Linked DNA regions of Neodiprion lecontei. The protein of the gene in region 2 interacts with the protein of the main gene of each other region in a pairwise test. Links are inferred from orthologs where the notes say so. Each region holds a gene or a part of one and is shown on either strand. Other genes may lie near its edges. The genes, in order: zinc finger protein 260, deformed epidermal autoregulatory factor 1 and transcription initiation factor IIA subunit 1.

What was found.
Region 1: the proteins of deformed epidermal autoregulatory factor 1 (region 2) and zinc finger protein 260 interact in a two-hybrid assay, tested with the Drosophila melanogaster proteins (2 studies listed by BioGRID). The link is inferred for Neodiprion lecontei from reciprocal best matches to the Drosophila melanogaster genes Deaf1 and Clamp.
Region 3: the proteins of deformed epidermal autoregulatory factor 1 (region 2) and transcription initiation factor IIA subunit 1 interact in a two-hybrid assay, tested with the Drosophila melanogaster proteins (2 studies listed by BioGRID). The link is inferred for Neodiprion lecontei from reciprocal best matches to the Drosophila melanogaster genes Deaf1 and TfIIA-L.

What each region holds. Positions count from the first base shown.
Region 1 is NC_060266.1:16,752,302-16,757,225, reverse strand, and holds the start of zinc finger protein 260, read right to left. Parts: upstream 3,060-4,924; 5' UTR 2,301-3,059; intron 1-2,300. UniProt on the Drosophila melanogaster protein: Transcription factor involved in X-chromosome dosage compensation in males, the process by which transcription of the single X chromosome in the male is elevated. Binds to the DNA sequence (GA)n.
Region 2 is NC_060261.1:38,356,149-38,363,805, reverse strand, and holds the start of deformed epidermal autoregulatory factor 1, read left to right. Parts: upstream 1-1,593; 5' UTR 1,594-1,713; intron 1,714-3,050; 5' UTR 3,051-3,306; coding exon 3,307-3,555; intron 3,556-4,856; coding exon 4,857-5,348; intron 5,349-5,449; coding exon 5,450-5,911; intron 5,912-5,994; coding exon 5,995-6,195; 3' UTR 6,196-7,657. UniProt on the Drosophila melanogaster protein: Transcription factor that binds the homeotic Deformed (Dfd) response element. High affinity binding sites contain at least 1 TTCG motif surrounded by additional TCG sequences.
Region 3 is NC_060263.1:28,727,867-28,735,841, reverse strand, and holds transcription initiation factor IIA subunit 1, read left to right. Parts: upstream 1-1,936; 5' UTR 1,937-2,145; coding exon 2,146-2,262; intron 2,263-2,640; coding exon 2,641-2,851; intron 2,852-3,323; coding exon 3,324-3,680; intron 3,681-4,142; coding exon 4,143-4,348; intron 4,349-5,015; coding exon 5,016-5,159; intron 5,160-5,334; coding exon 5,335-5,424; intron 5,425-5,517; coding exon 5,518-5,625; 3' UTR 5,626-7,802; downstream 7,803-7,975. Other genes in the region: protein unc-79 homolog, read right to left, coding at 49-168, 346-367. UniProt on the Drosophila melanogaster protein: TFIIA is a component of the transcription machinery of RNA polymerase II and plays an important role in transcriptional activation. TFIIA in a complex with TBP mediates transcriptional activity.

The DNA.
Region 1 (4,924 bases), on a different chromosome or scaffold from region 2:
AGTTTATTTATTGAGTGCATCATTGTTGTATAAATTGTTGTAATTTCACGTGAAAAAAAAAGGTGCTGCACGGTTTCCACGATGACGGCCGCAATTTTGATCTGAAAAAAAAATTTCAAAAAGATTATTGATCTGTAGGAAAGTCGCTATCGCGCTATGGAGGGTTTTTTTTTTTTTCAAATTTGACAAAATGGCAGCGGTTTAAACAAAAAGTGTCGAATGTGGCCCTTTTTTTCGACAGTTTTTCGTAAAAAAAATAGGAAGTTTTCAAAAAAAAAAAAAAAGCTTCCATAGCGCGATAAAGAATGACGTTTAAAATGTTCTCCCGAAATTGGAACTAGATATCTTTAAAACTCTTCCTTTGAGAGTGAAAACCGTTTTGAAAAACACCATTCTGAGAAAAACGCGTTTAGAGATTGAAGTTGGAAAAGTTTATATAAATCGTTTACTTACGATCAATCAGCGATGCCAGGTCTTGATTTTTTTCTTGGGGGTTTCTCTCGTACGTCTATCCGTGGTGGATGTCAAAACGAACTGAAATGCTTGGACAGTTTATTCTGCAAGGTTATAGAACCTAAGCACCTTAGTACTCGCGCAGGTAGAAAACCCGTTCCCTTTCTACAAGAAACGCTGTAGCGACCGTAATAATTTGAATTTCGATTTAAAAATTTGAGAGAATGTTTAGAACAGTGTATACTATACGATAATGCAAAAAAAAAAAAAAACAATTTTTTGAAAATTTCACACTGAGACGATCCCTTAAAGCTACGCAATAAGAATTCAAATATCAAAGTAATTCTTCTTTCACATTTAGTCATTCTGCATGAGTAAATTATGAGAACTTTGGGTAAAATCAAACATAAGTATAATATTAACAGTGAGCCTTTACAACATAACTCCTCAAATGTGGAACTCGTTGAGCAGTGTTTGTTTTACTAATGAAAGGCCATGGCTTACAATTAAATGGGATTCAGACTCTGCTGCAAAATGTGCTTGCAACTATGAAGAATCACTATGTTTTGGTTCAATAAATTCCAGTGATCTCCATAATCAGATTAAAGGATGGCAGTAAAATGAATTCAATTTGAGACTGGTCTCTCGAAACGAAACAAAATTTCATTTTATGTATAGAATAATTGAATTATTTGTAAATGAATTTATACAAAAATTTCACGTTATGATATTCAAAGTTTAATACCTGTTATTGAATGATAAATATCAATACTTAACATAGAATGATAATGGATACATTATTAAAACAAGTTTTACGAATAGATCATTTCTGGCTTCTTTGCAGTCTGAAAATAAGAGGGTCCAAAAAGGATTTGTTACGGAACATGATCCGATTTCTGAATGCCGAAGTTGTATACCATGAGTTTTCGTGGATGCGTACCAGGGGACCCCTAATTACAAGCCATTCAAGATACGAGTCCACTCTGTGCAGCTCCGAGTTTCACATCAGCCACGCGCTAACGAATGGACTGCCGAGTTGCTCAGAGTAGACCTCATGGTGCACGTCCACGAAAATGCCAGGTATATACAATGTGAGTAATTGACAGTGGAATAATCCAACACGCATGTGCTAAAATTTTAGAGCAAAAGCAGTTTTGTCAAGTTGACCAACCGTCATAAGTTCAGATGACAGGTCGCCACGGTATATGTGTTGATAACAATGTTTATACTTTCAACTAGACGTAGGAACAAAAAAAAAAATTTGCGATGCGCGTATGTATTCCATAGATAACGATGCTGAATTGAACTGTAAAAGTTATGGTCTTGTGAAGTGGATGAGTTTAAAAAAAAAAATTTTTTTCCAATTCCGTGATATGTTGGAAGTATGAGCATTGTTCTCAAGCATCAAATTGATCTTATTAGTCCATCTTATTCAATGAATAAAATAATAATAATTTCAAAACATCGAAAACTTCAATGTATTTTACATTTAAAATTTCAATCGCTCATGTGTTAATATTACCTTATATTAAAAACTTTTATATTGATACAAGATTTTTGTCGGTAAAATGAACAATTTTTTGGGGTAATCGAAAAAATTCTAAAATGACCAAAATAATGGACACTCTAATCTACAAATATATATATAACTGAGTGTGTGTGTGTATGTATATATATTACATATATATACATATATGGTAGTGTAGTCATCGTAGTTGAATAAGAAAAAGTCGGATAGGATATTTGATGAGAAAACTCACTCAAATACCGAAGGAATTGAAAAGTAAAAGAAGTTTTCAACCCGAACAGAAATAATGTAAAATGCAAAATTTCTAATAAATACTCACTTGTATAGTTTATGCATCTACTCCGTTATTCTCGATGATTTTTTGAGTCTGTATCCATAATCTGCATTCCGGTAGACTCGTTATCACATTAAAAATAAAAAATTAGCAAATATACACCTGCTGGGCCGTTAACAAAAGGCTACACAGGCCAACGGCCAACGAGCATCAAGGTGGGCAGCATCCCAAATTCCCAGGCATGGGTTGACCATGAAGTCGATTAAAAAATCTCCTCAAACACTTATCTTTGCCAGTGGATTATTTTCCGGCCGACAGTTCGGAACGTTACATGCGAAAAATACAGTACCGGTGATCGTTTGTAACCCCTCGGCTAGGGCGCTGGAGCCAGGCACTTGTCAGAGAATGTTTGAGTCCGGTAGACGTCTCTGATACCAAGCGAGCATTGGCCTTGCGTTTCACAGCATTATGACTGCATATTATTTGGAATTAAACTATCTCGCACGCAGACTTTCAACTACAAACCCTAACCCTTATTATCTCTTCAAAAATTGCAGGTTTTATTGATTTATCGCGCGGATTCGTTGACGCGTACTAAACGGAACCACGGAAGAGCGTCAACAAACTCTCTGGCGGCCATTACGTTCGACAAGGATAACAATGGGCGGCCGGGCACGCGATTCTCGACCCCTTCACTCAGCCGCAGTGCCGCCAGGTGTTACTTTAAAATGTCCCTAGTTATGCATTGAGATCTCCCTACAATGTCTCTACACTCATGATTATGAACACGATGTGAGAAGAACAGTGAAAAAGCAGCCTGTGCTTGCCACTGAAATATAGTAATACTGGAACGCACACCGTGTACAAAAGCACGTCACCAGTCTATCCCCACTGTCACGCACATCTCCACGCAAAGGTTGAACAGAGATAAAAATACGCTTCCCATTAGTGAAAGAGAGTTAGAGTTCCCCCTACTCCATCTCTTTCGGTGCCAATCAAAAACGAGTATCCGAGAAAGGCAGAATCCTACCAATTTTCTAACTTTCTTGACGACGCTCTCTCGGGCAACGCTGCCTTACGGCGAGCGTTTCAGTATTAACATATTTCAGTAATGCTTTGCCCATACAACGCATTGTGATTTTTAGTTGAAGTCACGATCGCAATGCATATAGCTCTCGTAACTCTACTCAATTTTTGTAAGTAGGAAGAGCCCGTTAAGCTGGATTTTCACGCGCAGCAAACAGCTGAATGTAGCGTGCTCTGGTTGGTCAATTCACCAAAATCACCATTTTGTGACGTCTGATACTTGGCGATCTTGGTGAATTGACCAATTGGAGCACGCCGCATCTAACTATTTGCTGCACATGAAAATCCCATGTAAGGGTCCTATACTATGGGTGGGTATGTATGTACACTACACTGCGAAGATAATGACTTGTTGGATTGACACGTCAATTCTAAGGTTAGATTCGACAGGGATAACGATTTGTTGACGTGTCAATCCAACACGGTATTCTAAGGTTAGATTCGACTGCCATGGATTATGTTGTGTTTATTGAGATTGAGTTTGTTTCGCGCTTGGCCGACTATGGCGTTATAGGTTTCTCTGGGTTTCAAACATAACTGACTAGTGTCCAAAATTAGCCTTCTCAGATTCATTGTCCCCAAGTGTACGACCGTGGTTCGGACCATAGACTTATAAAGATAGACTGAGCGCTCCTATAAGAAGCACTGACAATTATATATAAAGGACAGAGATATACCGGGAGTACTGCTCTCTCTTTTCCATCGGCGTCATGGTGGGAGACAACGGAGCAGTGGGATTGGAACAGCTTTAGATACAGGCGCATAATTTCGTCTCATTCTCCTCTACCGCCTCGATCCCCGCCGCAAATATTCTCAGAGAGAGAATGGAGTACTGCCGGCATATTTCTGTCCTTTAAATGTTTGCTTCAAGCGGCTCATAAGAGCGCTCAGTCTATCTTTATGAGTCTATGAGTTCCGACATTAGCTCTCAGTGCTGGAAACAATATTCTACTCTCTTCCGCTGCCGGGTTAGAGAGTAGCTCGGCCTCTGTCCTAGGGAGTTTTCAGCGCTGCCAGCTAATTTCGAAACGCACCCTAAAGTATCCGTGTCACCCACGGTCTTACACACAGGTCTGGCAACGAAGGTAGTGGAGGTGGTTCATTTCACTGCCGATTATTTATCTCACTTTGTGGCCGCCAGGCCGGCATTGTGATTGAGGAATGGATAATCAACGCGTGCGTAATGCAGCGCCAACCTAATAATAAATTATTATTACTACAAGTAATGAATTGTTATGAATGAAAGTAGTTGATATAAATATTAGTATGATATAATTATTATGAATGATATATGTATGGAGACTAGAGGCAAAGAGTTTCATCTCTGTTTCCTATTTTCAGCCATCATTATTGAAATTTATGGTTTACTTATCAAGTTATGGAATACTTAACTCGCTTGCGTTTGAATTAATTCAAGCGGTGACCTATCCGAATAAACCACCAAGCTTGATTAAACCCCAAGCGGGGCTATAACTTAGATATTAGAAAAAAATGTAAACAAATTATCTACATCAATCTCGTTCATTTCAAGGAAAAAAAAAAAAATAAATTTCATGTGTATGTACGAATAATAAATATACGAA
Region 2 (7,657 bases):
CACATGACTCTAACCATTACAGATTTGACACATGTCCTTCCTTTTACATTGTTGCTGCTTAGGTGTAAGATATTATTTTCGCAATTTCGACGCGCTATAAAATTTTCTCGCTCGAAAAATCTTAAAAAGTTTTTGAATACACTTTAACTCAAAAAACTGATTACGATAAAACGATGAAGGAATACGAGATGACCTGATTTTAATGTTGGTGGAGTGGCGATGGATTGCCTCATGCGAACCTGTGACACGTATGCATGTACGTCCACGACTGGAATATACTATACACACGTAGCTAGCGGTGAAGTTTCGTTGGACGGGTGTAATTACGTTACCCATGCTCTTTGTTGTATCAGACCACGGTTGGTTTACGTTCCTATCGCTCGGATATTGACGCATGAGAGGGGACTTTAATGTCATTTTGTCAAAATTTTATTTTCCATTGTCTCCACTTTTCCCTTCAGTGATCCGGAGCGTTTGAAGCTCTCGTTTTTATGCGCGCCTATAATCTGGCCACATTCTCGAATTCTACCTTGCGTAAATTCGAACGCCTTGGAGCACGATTAGCATGATCTCTGTTCTCTTTCTCTCGTGATTACAGAAGTAGTAAGAAAGTCTTAAAAATTGTTAATAGAAATTTTTTAATCCCTGATGTTAAATAGACGCTGCGTTTTCAGAGAATTGTACAAAAGTTCTTTACGCTTTCTGAGACTTTTATAGTATACGCGCCGTTCGTATCAGTTAGTTTCTAACAGTTTGTACGTTTGGCGATCCGAGAAAGTTTCAAAGTAGAATGAACTTCCTGATAGAAAACTCGTTAACGACTAATTAGTTTGCCCGCGCAGAAAGCAAGAGTGAGATCGCTGGATGAGAGAACAATTTCAAGGTGTATCGCCCCCATCTCACTTGCGAAAACGCTACGTCATTTTAAAAGTATCCGTATATATTTGCGATTCCTATTTTTCCTCCAATTTTTTACTTTTTATAAATTAAAGCTTTACTTCTTTCATGAATAAAAGTGAACGAGCTTTTATTTTACATCTTTCATACACTGACAATTTTACATTACATTATTTAACGACATAAACTCGCTACGAAATTTTCTACTGGCTCGAGTCCAAATGTGAGAAGTTATTGAGAAAATTTTCGTGGCTTGTGACGATGAAAAATAAGTATACACTCTCGTGGAGAAGTGGTCACGTCAATTATAACTGATAGAAAAATTCATCGCAAAATCGGTCGTGTGACTATGAGAAATTCGGTTCGCGAATTTAACAATTTTATCTTTATTATGCCTTTGAAAAGGTTATTTATCTAAATTTTCGTTGGCTGTGATTTAAATTGTACGCTTTGCTCGCAGCAAAGTATTTAACTGATCTCAACGTCGGTTAAAAATTCGTCGAGTAGTTCCGGGATTGTTTGAGAAAATACTGCAGTTCGACGGTTCGGCGAAGACAGATATATACGTATACATACATATATTAGCAGGTACTGTTATTTTCAAGCCTGAACAAATGTTACGATTCATTACTTCACCGGCTACCTACTTTTCAGAGTTTCTAAATAACATCATTATCCTGGTGCTCTGCTGCAGGGGTCGTGCAGTCGGGTTCGTTCACACGATTTATAAACATCGCTCTGGCCGAGGAAAATACAAGAGGGACTCAACCTTTGTGCATTTAGAGATTTATCAAAGCACGTATAAGGCATGTACGGGTAAGTTTATTCACCTGTACAGACGATCAGTTGATGCCGCTAGAAACACAACTGCGGAAGAATTTTCAAACGAGTTTGCATACTTCAACAGACTTTAGGAATAACTGAACAACACGTTATAATTAAACAATGAATATGGATTTTGTTAACCAAGGAAAGGTTTGCAAACGTATACATACGTACGAGATATATACGTATATTATACACATACGGCTACTGTTTATGTTTGAAAGTGATGTTATATCTACGGAAAGTGGAAATATTCCGCTTTCTGTCGCGCAATGAACGATAAATCGACGAAAACTTTACGAAAATTATGCAATGTTCTAGTTCACGACCAAACGTGATACATGCGCGAGTCGTGATACGTAGCGTTATATAAACTTGACTCTAATCTGTGCGCAAAATGTTATTACGCTGCACTCCAAAATTTATACAACTGCACAATACATATTCGCAATTTTGTACACAGATGCCATGCAATGTTTCTCGCATAAATTGTTTTTTCAAATGTTGTGAATAATACTTCCTGAACTCTTCTGGATGATGGTTCTCTAAGCTGCATACTTTTAACAATATTTACCTAATTTAGAGAGAAAAACAAGATAAACGGTCATTTTAAATAACGGGAAAACTAAAAAGAACCTAAAGGTTTGGAACTTGAATTCTTGTTTGTAATTTTTAAGCAGTATTCTTGCTGCATTTAGAAATTTATAGATGTATTTTTCCTCGTATCTTCTATTTGAAAATCCAATGATATTTTTAATTTTGCGTTAATTTTGTGAATAAACGTCCAGTGCGAAGACATCTGTTAATCAAACTCTGCAATATGAATCAACTGTAGTGGTAGCTTACTGACAGTAACTGAACTGCTATACCGACAGCCAACCGATGTCCCTGGGAAGGTCGATAAAACAGTTTCTGTGGGTATTTTTTTCAAACTCCACTTGCTCTAAATTAAGTACTGCATACGAGTTATGAGATAAAATTTTCAATACAGCAAGAACAAAACAACAAAGTATCGTCGGTCAAAGCAACAAATTGTCGCAGTTTAAAAGTCTGACCGACAACGGTACGGTCTGCCCTAAATGAAACTGCACACGCTTAAAGCTAACTTGGAATTAGGGCACGAAATTCCGTCGGTAAATATGAATAAGAGGTTGAAATTCTGAAAAGACGAGAGATGCATTCCGATCAATTCACAAAGTGGCGGTTGAATCAAAGTCCAAACAGGCAACTGACCAATTGATGATAAAATAACGGTGATAATAATTGTCGGAGAGTATGAATTAGCGAAACGCGATGCCGGCGTTGAAGAAACTCTGTGCATGTTTCAGAGCGGTATAGTTACCCATCGTGCTCGGTACTACGAACGCGTTAGTCGATGTCCAGCGACTGACATCTATTCGGTATTTGGGGAAACTAAAATAGCTTTACATGGGCAACGGGTCGGAAAATTTGTATCTGGGTACGAGCAGGGCGTATTTTGATTACCGCGGGTCTCGAGGAAAAGTTAAAGACAATCACGTGGGAAGTCGATAGTCAACTGCGAGGACGAAAGTATTGGCGCCATTGAAGACGAGGACAGCCGAAATGGAGGAGAATCAAACATCGGAAAGTGTCGCTGTGTTACCGGACATGTCCGAACCGTTGACGAGCGAAACCGAGGAGTCGGCTGCCCTAACGGGCGAACACGAAGCCCATCCTGTTGCTGTCACGGCCAACGTTTCCTCCGTTCCAGGGGTCGGCGTTCCCGTTTCGCTACCCGTTGGCTCGATCATCGGGGTAGCTAATTCCAGCAATGGCACCACCTTCAACGTCATTACCTCCGACCAGCTGCAGGTACTTGGCTCGACGATTACGCTCCGCGTATTTCTCACGTTTTATCGCTTCGCCCCAGGCCTCGAAAAAAGTCTGATCGAATTTTCTCACCTATCAGCGTTCAACGTGTTTTTCAATGTCATTTGTCAATTCGTATAGTTGTGAGCATATGACCATCATCACCCCAAAATGTTCACCCCTTTGAATAATCGCATCATCTTTTCCCCATTCGTTATCCGGTAGCTAGTTGCATGGTGTCTGTATGTGGGCTATCGATTTATAACCTACACGGACGGTATTTGCTTACACAGGCCCAGGCTTTTACCATAATATTTATTATCCGAGAGTTTACATGCTCCAAGATTGATCCAATTTATTGGTTTTCTTAACAACTTCATAAATTTGTTTACATTCCTTCGCTTACTCGGTACGCTCACTCTAGCCATGTTCCAATTCTGTTGAACGTTCCATCGGCTTTTGTATGCTTGTACACCTGCCTTTGCCTTTGGTTGTCTAAATAATGTATCACAAGAGCTAATGTACAAGAGTGCACAGTTTTGATGATTTCCAATATCGTAACTGTAGTGGAAAAAATAGTCATCATTTGTTTTTTTGTTTTTGTATAACAATAATTTTGTTATGTATCTTATTCAGAAGTTTCTAAAACAAACCATCAACATTTTGTGAACTCATTTTACAAGGTTATGACGCAATTCCGCAATAAAACGAACGTGCTACGGATAGGGTACCAACAGTGGTCATATTTGAGCAATAAAAGTTTTTGTCTCGCAGGTTATTGCACTTTGAGATAATGAAGAAAACTGCTAAAGCTTATTGAATACGTGATAGTAGTTGTCATGCAAGATCCCTTTACTGCATGCTCTATGTCAACGTTATGTATTTGAGTTCTATTGCAGAATATGAGTAATTGCAATCATTGATATTCATTAGAATACCAATTTGGGGATATTCTGTGGAAAACTTCAGGTACCCTGTCGCGTAGTTGCTAAGTCAGCACTCTCTCAATTCAATTCCCAAAGTTCTTATGATCTTTAGAATATTTGGAGAATATCAAATACGGTACCTTATTAAAAGTAAACGACTGAAAAAATATTTTAATTATCTACACAATATCTGTGTCAAATTATTTTTAATATATTTTGGCCGCCATTGTCTACATATGCTGCACTTGAACATTATCACATTGTGTGACAAGGAATATTAATCTGCCACCAAATTAGTATACATTAAAAAATTTGCATCAGTAAGATTTGCGTTAGCCAGCAAAGATCAAATGTCACGTGCTATTAATTACATTTCAGCTACCGGGCTCGGGTCAATTTAAGCAAATGTTATGCGTGGATAATGGATTTATCTGTGAACCTCGTCATGACAAGGATAGCGATCCTTTACGCTGGAACGGGGAGTTGAAAGCGACGCATATCGTAATCCAGAACAGTACAGATGAAAATGATAGTGATCAAATCCATGTCACAACAGCCAACTCGCAGCCAATATGCAGTTGGTCAGAGTCTGCGAACATGGCTGTACTGCCAGTTAGGTGTAAAAACACTAATGCAGAACTGCACAAAAGTAGATTTGGGTCAGGGGGAAGAGGACGTTGCATAAAACTTGGAGATACTTGGTACACACCTAGTGAGTTTGAAGCTCTTTGTGGAAGAGCATCGAGTAAAGACTGGAAACGTAGCATAAGGTTTGGGGGCAGGAGTTTACAGACCTTGATAGATGAACAGATATTGAAACCACATGCCACATCCTGTACTTGTGCAGCCTGCTGTGACGACGATAGCGCTGTAAGTATCGTTATTTTCATTTTTTGAATTTGGTGATTCACTTTTGTATTGATTTTATTGCTACTGACAACTGATGACATGATTTGGCGTCTGTGCTGCAGACTGGCCCAGTGCGATTGTTCACTCCTTACAAGCGTAGGAGAAGAGCGCGAGAAACCTCTGATGGTGAGACTCCAAATCGCAAACACAAAAGTGACAATTCTCGAGACGGAAGTAACAATGACGACAGTGACACTGAAGTTGTTGTACCCGATAAGGAAAGCTGGTCTCAATTTGTATCAGCAGATGGGTTGGTGGTACAACAATCACAAGAACAGGAAACAGTTGTGCAGAGTGTGCATCAAATTGAAAATGGACAAAACGAAGATATTTTTAAGAAGCTCGACGAAATGTCAAATAAGATGTTGAAACTAGCCTATGAATTTAGGCAAACTCTTGCCGAAGCCAAAGAATTGAATAGGCAACAGAAGCGAGAGCAAGCTCTTGCTGCGCAACTCAATGTCCGAGGTGAAGTAATTGAAACAGTTGGTCTGCAGCCAACTTCGGATACACACAACAAAAAAGTAAGTTTGACTATTTCAAAAGTTCGATTGTCGATTTACACTTTGACACGGGCTCATTATGAATTTTCCCATGTTTTCCCAAGTGTGCCAACTGCAATCGTGAAGCTTTCGCTGAGTGTTCGCTGTGTAGGCGTACGCCTTATTGTTCTACGTTCTGCCAACGAAAAGATTGGGCTGGTCATCAGGTAGAATGTGTAAGAGGCGCTGCAGAGACAGTTATGCTGATAGTTGAGAGTAGTAGCGGGGATGCGAATGCACTTTCAACATCAGCCGGGGACCAATAGCTAGTGTTCCTCACTCCGATTCATCAAAAGAATCCTGGGAGTGAAGAATTGGATATGGAAAATTCGCCAACAGAAGAATTAGAAACAGATATTAAAGTTGCCAAGTCCGAGATGGACAAGAAAGATAGAGAATAGAATAATTATGTTTTCGAAGGAAAATAATAACAATAATGAGCAAAGTAATGAAATGATCCAGGTATTAGCGTGTTACATTGGTGTTATAAATAGAATAGCATAGAATACTGATGTCAACATTCTTGAATACTTGGAATTTTGAAAATTGAGATCGAGAATATTTTGCCAATCAAAGACAACTTGGAGTGCAACTTGTTTTTCTGCGAACGAATTCATACCAAATGTTAGCTTTTAGATATTTTCTACACACCCAATCTAACAATGATGTGGTAGGAATAAAGATTGTGAAATAGTGTAAAGAAATGAAGCAGTGAATTTTGGTCGGACGCAAAATGTTGTAAGATATAGATACTAATTTTTATTCTCTTGTATAAACATATTTACTGTTAGCATCATATTGTACGGACTTTTTTTAGTGAAACACGAAGCATCAAAAAAATTGAGGGACTTCACCAACTTAAGGTTGTACACCTAATTTCACATACTTGTGATATAAATGTTCAAAGAAACGTGTGAAGGTGTGAGTTCCATGCAATATTTCTCTGCCGAACCATTCAGGTAAATCTATATTATTACAATATTCTAATAAGATAAAGTTGAACATTTTACAAAAGCCAATACATACCTGAAATTTAAAGTCCTGATTATTTGTAATCATTGAGATAATTATAATATATGAGCTCATCTCTATGAGCTTTAATTTATTTTCAATTTCAAGGATGCATTAAATTATTCTGCAACCACGAATTGCATGCATGGTCTACCATTTTTCATCAAATGTCATTTAATCACCATCATTGATGTTTCTTATAGAAATGAGTGAGTAGCAATCATCTATCTAATATAATAATCATCTCACAAAAATACCAGATATAGTGCTATTAATACATTTCATTATTATAACCATATATGAAAATCATGAAAAGTTGGTAATATTGATCATCAAAAAAAGTAATTATCTATACGTAAAACCAAGTGATTACAGCGTTTATATAAAATAACTTATAACTTATATTTGATGTGATCGGGCTTCGAATCCTGAGATGAGCATTTTTTCGTTTGATAGTTTTAATCGGTATAAGGATTATAATATGCGTTGAAATTTTTCACCACTTTCTAACTTTATTCGCAAGTTGTAGGTATTGTTATTTATGAAGAATTATGGAGAATACTGCCCTCCTGGAATACGCTAGTTGGTTCTAATAGTTGTATACTCGCAGAGGTTGATTATGGAAACGAATCATCATAGTTGATTAAATGTGCAGTGTTACCATCGACATATAGTAATGTCGATGAATGTTACTATCGGTACATAGTAACTAATAGT
Region 3 (7,975 bases), on a different chromosome or scaffold from region 2:
ATGAAAGTTCAAACTTGTACAACATTCGACCAACGGGGGTATACTTACAAAGCAATGTTTGAGAAAAGTATTTTATGGTATTAGTCATGTCGAATCCTGAGGGAGTTGGCTGAATCGCGTGTAGGAGTCTTTGATGGTAATCGTGAAGACTCGAGAGCTTTAGTGTGTCTGTAAAATAGCACTAAAATTACAGTACAGTTCATGTGTAAGGATATTTGTACCTTAAATTGGTTTTGTGTTTACGTTGTACGTTTAAATGAATCTGTTGAAACTATTAATTGCAAGAATGAACATGATCATGAAATACTTGGAAAATTCGATATAACATAGAACGATTATACGCACATGCAGCAAATTTCGTCCCCATTTTAGAGTTGTAACAAAATTGCTTTCGGTAAGATTAATATCGCTTCTTAATATACATCATTCTTGAACAACGCATCGCATGGACCCGAGTATCCGACGTATTGATCCTCCGAACTCAGATACTCTTTAATCTGAAAGCGATGTTCCGCGCTCATCTCGACCGGACAACAGCTGATTCGCTACACTATATTAGTTGTACCTTCGGTTAAAGCATTGTACGGCACTACCGCATTTGCGTAAAAATGACATAAAACGCTTAAAAAACACTTATGTCATTTCATCCGGTCATATTCGGGTTAATCACTCGGTTTTATACACATGAGTTTCACACGTTACGTTGACAGATCTACGAAAAATTAAGCGCACGCGCCAAACTCCGATGGTCATCGTAACTCCAACGAACCACGGTTCAAGAATAATCTGCTGCCTACAGCCAACTAGGTACAATACCATGCGTTACCAGAGAGAAACCTGCGTTACATCCAAAGTATATTATGGAAATGTTTGAGCAAATCAGAATGTGGGGCGGTAATTATTCCGATGAAAAACTTTTGATTCTGAACCCAACCGGCATCCGAAGTCATTGCCTCTCGTTTTATCGTCTGAATAAATTATTAAAGCGTGTATTACACTGCTTATTCTTATAACCCCGGGGATTCCCTGCTCGCAACAATTTCTATCTGACGATCCAAATTTCGGCAATCGGCATAGAACTGGAGTATAATTTGTCCACTGTTTTGTCCAATAAATCGCTTATGCAGTGGATGTATTCCAGTATGTGTGCTAGCATCTTGCTAGCAAGTAGCACGTGGACATTTCGGAATGGTCGTTCCGTAACAAGAATGAATATCCGCGATCTGTCATTGCGGAACGGACATACATTTTGTGTCCGATTCACGATGTAAGAAGGGTAAACAGGTTGAAGTCCGACGTTACCAGGTCAAGAAATCTCCACAATTTCGACACTGATACCTGAGGCAATTCCGAGCCCAACTCATTTCATTACGTCTCGAAATGTCGGACGTGCTAGCACCGCTAGCACACATTTCGGAATACGTCCAGTATAAAGCAGAATGGCTGCTTCATTTTGACGTATTCAGGAACTCCTATGATAACTATTGAACGTAGTCACTTCCATTATAACTTTCACCTTGTCGAACCGTAAACTAGGCTCAAAAAATTACGTTATGCGTAAATCGATTAGTTTTACCGTAGTAAAAACTATCATTGCAATTTTTTAGGTTATATTCCTTCATATCACAGTAAGCTGTACATAAGGCTAAAATCACGAGAGTAGTTATGTTGATCGACGTAGTTGAGCCATAGGGTGGAATGGGAGCTGTTGAGAAAGTATAAAAGAGCTCGAGCAACGCGGCAGGTCGGCTTCTCAGAAGCGGGCATTGATTTAGGATTATTCGTATTGTTGTTCTATTGATTGATAATACGAATTATCCCATAATGGCCCTGAGTCAAACTAGCGTGGTGAGTAATAAAGAAAAACCACGAAAATAATATGCTAATGAAAAATACAGGAAACAAAGCATCGTGCTTAACGAGCCGTATGTATGTATTTACGTCTTGCTTTCGGTAATATTAACTTGCTGAAGGCCTTGGACGATCTGTCAATAGTGTAATCTTCGCTATCTTAATGCCTTTGTGACTGTTGTACTCTGTTTTGAAGTAACATTTGACTCGTTACTTGAAAAATGAAGTCGCTCGAAACATCGTTAAATAAAAATATTTATAATAAACGTTTATCGTTATTTTCACCTTCAAAACATGAGGATATCTTTATCGCCCTCGACACGTATGCGTAACGTGTTACACGACATGTTCAACGAAATGTTCATTGATTACACAATTACAAGAGAAAATAATATTGTTGTCATACTTAACGTAAGTAACAAAATATTAAATACCCGTCGATATTATTTTGATGATGATTTTATTTCTTTTTTAATTGAATAGAATTCTTTAAGAGGCAACAAAGTATTGCAATTCCAACTCGTATGCTATTTTCGCCTCACATATAAAACCTTTCTAGCTAGCTAGAGAAGTGTTTTTCTAAAAACATAATTCAGCAATGCTTATACTTCAGAAAGAAGCAAGAAAAACACATTTTACAACTGTGACATTTTACCTAGAAGTTAAAAAGAAATATGCAGATTCATCCACTTTTTTGTCAACGGCCATCTAATACGACATAAGGTGGACGTTACTTCAGTAATATTTTTACACAGCACAAAAGTGAGTAAAATGGTATTTTGGTTTCAGTTGAAGTTATACAACACAGTCATCGAAGATGTCATAGCTGGCGTGCGTGAATCATTTTTAGATGAGGGTGTAGATGAGCAAGTATTACAGGAGTTGAAACAAATATGGGAGACAAAATTAATGTCCAGTAAAACGTTCGAGGTGAACCCAGATCCACCAGAGCCCCAGCCTCCTCAGCTTACCACCCACAAGACAGCGGCAACAAATAAAGGTAACAATTTTGTAATATTTGATGGCTGTAGTCATATGTTATTGCTCACTTTTTGAAGTATTCCAAAACAGGATACAGCTTTATATGTGAAAAAATTTTACCGCACTTTGCATGCTATTCAAGCTGTATTCTACTCCGTACAAGAGATTTTGAATTTTATTGCAAGTTGTGTTTTTTTAAGACTCCATGCGCTCAAATTTTTTCAATTATCACAATCACATGTACATACTCGCAGAATCAAAATACACTTTGAACCTCTAAAGTGAATAGTTTTATACAGAAAAAAAGAATCCACATCTGGCGAAATCCGCACGTATATTACATATGATAGTAATGTCTAGACGTGACTGATCAATATTTTCTTGATGTTTGCTATTTAATTATTCTATATGTACAAAATTTAGTACGTATTTTTCAGATTGTATTGAAATCAGTAAACATTGATATTTAATGTTGGCTCTCATTTTTACAGCTGGAATTGCTGGAAATCATTTTGTGCAACAACCGTCAACTGCAGCTGCAGTACAGCAACAGCAGCAGCAGCAACAACAACAACAACAACAACAACAACAACAACAACAACAACAACAGCAACAACAGCAGCAACAACAGCAACAACAACAACAGCAACAACAGCAGCAACATGCACAGCAAGCGGGCCATCCTGTGCAACAACAATCAAGTGGTATTGCGCAGCAGGTAGTTACTGCTCCTGCTGCAGTTTTGGACAGACAAGTCCCAATTCAAATCACTCTTCCTGCACAAGCTGGTCAGCCCGATGCTCAGCCCCGAGTTCTCACAATACAAGTCCCAGCCTCAGCGATTCAAGGTAAAATAACATATCCTACTACAGTTTTAACCCATAAGTTACCGGATTACGAAATAGCTTGCTGAAAAATATTTTTACTGTCCAAAGCACATTTAAATGATTTCCTAGAATGCAAAGTCTACTTAAAAAATAAAATTAAAATTTCGAAAATCTTGCCCTATTTTGACAGTGTTCGTATGGATGAAATTGATGTCTTAATGGTACAAGTAGCTACATTTATGCACTTTAACTCTTCATTATGGACGTCAGGTTTCTTAGCGCTAGTGAGCACGTGGGGTCTTCGAGGACCCATTTTTTTGGAGCTATATTTTCGCAAAATTCTGCTAATCATTGAAACATAGATTCAAGTATTATTGATCTTGTTATTGCAATTGTAATGCGAATAAAAATTGCCAAAATATTTGGATATCTGTTTTTGTGCAAGATAAAAAGCTTTGGTAGTCACAGACATTTTTGTTACAGGTAACCAATTACATACTATTTTAACTGGTCCTGTAATTACTGCTGCAATGGGACTCCCTGCGAACCTGGCATCAACATTGTTGCAACAACATGTAAATGCTACGCTTCAAGGACAACCTACGCTTGCGCCTATTCAACTAGCCCAACCAACTGTTGTAACACAGAATACAAACAGTGTAACGACACAGCGAACTGCCCAAAGTCAGGTACGAGTATATGTTTACGGAATGGTTAAATTTCTTTTAATTTGTTTTGAGTTGTTCTAGAATAAATATTGTATACGTTGAATATTTCGTCTCTTTCACAATTAATGCCTTTTCCGTCAGTAGGCTCAAAAGTTAAATATATTCCGATTCTTGATTCGTCATCACTTTACTTCGTCAGTACTTCAAAGGTTATGCAATAGATAATTGACTTTACATAAAACTTGTTTTTCACAAATTTTAGGAATCAATGACAATGACAGCATACTTGAAGTTGGTCTTTCCCGCGTAATCATAGCTACTAAATACAGGGTGACGTAGCACTATCACCCCATAAGCTCACTATGTATTCCTCGTGAAAATCTACGACTGAAACGTTTGTTATTTCTCACTGACAGATTGTCGTTTGCGATTTACAGTTGTTTGAAAATGGCCAAACCGGTATCATCTGATGGTTTAGATCAGGGCTGGTGGATAGCCATGTGCTCCACAGCTGTCCTAAGCGATCAAATACTACCGGACTGGCTAATTTCAAACGTAATTCGCGAACAACAAGTTTCCTATTAGAAATAAAAACGTTTCAGTCGCAGACTTTCACATTGATAGCTTGTGGAGTGATAGTCGTAGGTCACCCTGTATATTTCTTACATTCCTATTCCATTGATGACAGGGTAACATAGCTCAATTGGATGGGCCTGTGGTTGATACGTCTGATGAAGACGATGATGAGGAAGAAGAAGATAATGATGATGATGATGAAGATCTTGATGATAGAGAAGAAGAAGAAAATGATGACGCTGCTGCACGTGAGGAGGTAATATTTTTTCAGATTTAACGTCGTGTAATTATCTTCCTATTTGGATAATGCATATGATATTTCTAGAATGTTTCATATACGTTCTGCTTTACGTTTAAGTGTTTTGTACTAGAGATTATATCTTTATTTAGTATTCGGAATTATTGACGTTCATGTGTGCGCATTATTTCAGGAACCACTGAATTCTGAAGATGATGTTACTGATGATGATCCAACAGATTTGTTTGATACGGATAATGTAGTTGTCTGTCAGTACGATAAGGTTGGTACTTTGGTTGTTATACTTGACCATTTCGTTTGTGCCTACTATTTGGACAGTAATAATTAATATATTTGGAATTTTACTGCATTTTAGATCACAAGGAGCAGAAATAAGTGGAAATTCTATTTAAAAGACGGCATAATGAATCTAAGTGGGAAAGACTATGTTTTCCAAAAAGCTAATGGGGATGCAGAATGGTAAGGGGCCCACTGCTACTTTTCTTTTAACAATAAAAAACCTATTCTTCTTTCCTCGTCTCTTATATCTTTTGTGCAGTCCTGTGAATCACATTGTTATGAATTAATCATTCACAGTTACTTCAAAATCATAATAGTATTAATAAGCATTATAAACCAATTACCATTACTCATTTAAAATGATACATGTAATATCAGGTAATATAAAATTTGTTATTAAGCAATTGGATGTTTTACGGTCTTGTGGACAAAATTCAAACTCTTGTATTTTTTGATTATAAAAATAATATATATATATATATACCTATATCTAAATCCGTACTGTTAGGTATTATCTAAATTCTTGCTTTTAATTTTTGTAAATAAAATCTTTCGCAAATATCACTGCACTGGTTTTGACAGAATATAATATAAGGGAATTCAGTTAACTTACTCAGGGATGTTTTGTTGTGGTATATATAAGTAGACTTGGAAACGGTAATAAAGTATACTCTAATTTTATAAATCGCATGGAACTGCATTGCAAGATAGAAGTGATAGTTGTAACATGATTTTTATTCATCTGATACCGATTAATTCCGTTTTGAATTTATAATTCTTGACCCTTACTCACTTACAAGAGGAACTGCCAAATTTCAATAATATTGCGACTGGAATAGACTTGTTTTTACTTTTGTACGCATTTGTAAATCTTATCATAAGATAGATTTTATGTAATTCCAAAATTGCGATTTATAAATAATTTTCTGAATTTATTCTCTGCGTAAATCTAATATAACATAGAATGAAGAATTATTATGCCTATTTCACTTGGAACACGGATACTAAATAATACATGCTTAAATGGTCTACTAAACGATGGGCCAGTTTAACCTTTTAAGGACGGGACTGGTCGAAATTTCGACCACTGGGTTGGTCGGATACTCCACGTGAGAAATTCATTGATATTATACACAAATTTCGTGTAAAATAAAAGGTCGATTTCAACGTAAAAATTCCCGTCCTGAAAAGGTTAATATGCTTTGGGAATAATAATTTTGAAAGTGAATCACCAGTGTAGTTGTAAATTTTAAGACAAAATACAGGTTAGTAATTAGGAGATTAAGTTTTAATTTTTGATTATACTGTATACTTTCACAAAGACTGTGCTCTAATCTAAATATCTGGTTGATTTACAAATGAAATTGCAAAATGGTTAAGGAGTTTGAGTGTACGCTCACTTACAAATTTTGTTGATTCTCGTGAATATTATTAAATCATGGATTATTTGAAGTAAAGTGCCTATGGGTAAAGTGGCGTGTGGGAGTTGAATTTAAATGTGAAACAGACTATTAAGCAAATGATATGCTCATAATTTTTGTTATAATTACCTGGGATGTAAATATATTGTCAAATGTTGTGGAAAAGTGATTATCGAAACGAAGTATAATAGTAAATTATTCCCGAGTTCATAAATTAGTTCATATTTCATTAGATTCATAAAATGGGTCAGACTTATGTATAAATTAAATTAAAGAAACTGATGCTGGGACTTAAGTAGTCGAGTGCACAAGAATCTATACTTGAATTTATTCAACTATGTAATTCTTATATAATTCTTCAACTGTATTGTAATAAAAACGTTTTTGCAATTCATTTCGAATAAAGAATCGAGCATAATCCAAAACTAGTTGGAAAAATATTTTAAAGTTACATGTGAAATAGGTATAGAATGAAGATTTAATAGGTATATTTGAAAACCATCAATGGTTGAGTATTTTACTTCATCTGAAGAAGCAAACAACTTAGAATGAAAATTCTGTAAGTTCATGAAACGAATGATTTATATACTGTAGATTTTCAAATGCTCAATTCATTAGTAAAAAAAAGAATCCATAATTGAATGCAAATTATCACTGCTTAACAACTGCGGTTTCAATACTTTTCATTGATACATATGTATATAAATCAGTTGAATAGTGTTGTGTGTACGTATAGTGTATTTGAAAATTCTTAGAAGAATAAAAGTGTCTTATGCTGCATACATGTATACCTACATTTGTAAAAGTATTTTAAATAAAGAGGGTCTATTACTGTAGATTATATTTGTCAATCGTAAAATTTTATACCCATGAATCGATTTTATTTGAATCAAATCATCTTCTAAACTAAATATTTTCATTTTTGCTACCACAAACGTATCAGTTACCCACGAAAAATCTATTTGAACTCAACGTCAAACTGAAGTTTGAAAATAGAAGTCTATAATATTGTTTTGCAAATGATGAACCTATACTGGCAGATATCACGGTACCATATCAGATTACCAGCAACTATTTCTAAAGTAATCATTTAGAATAGAATAAAATCGTTTA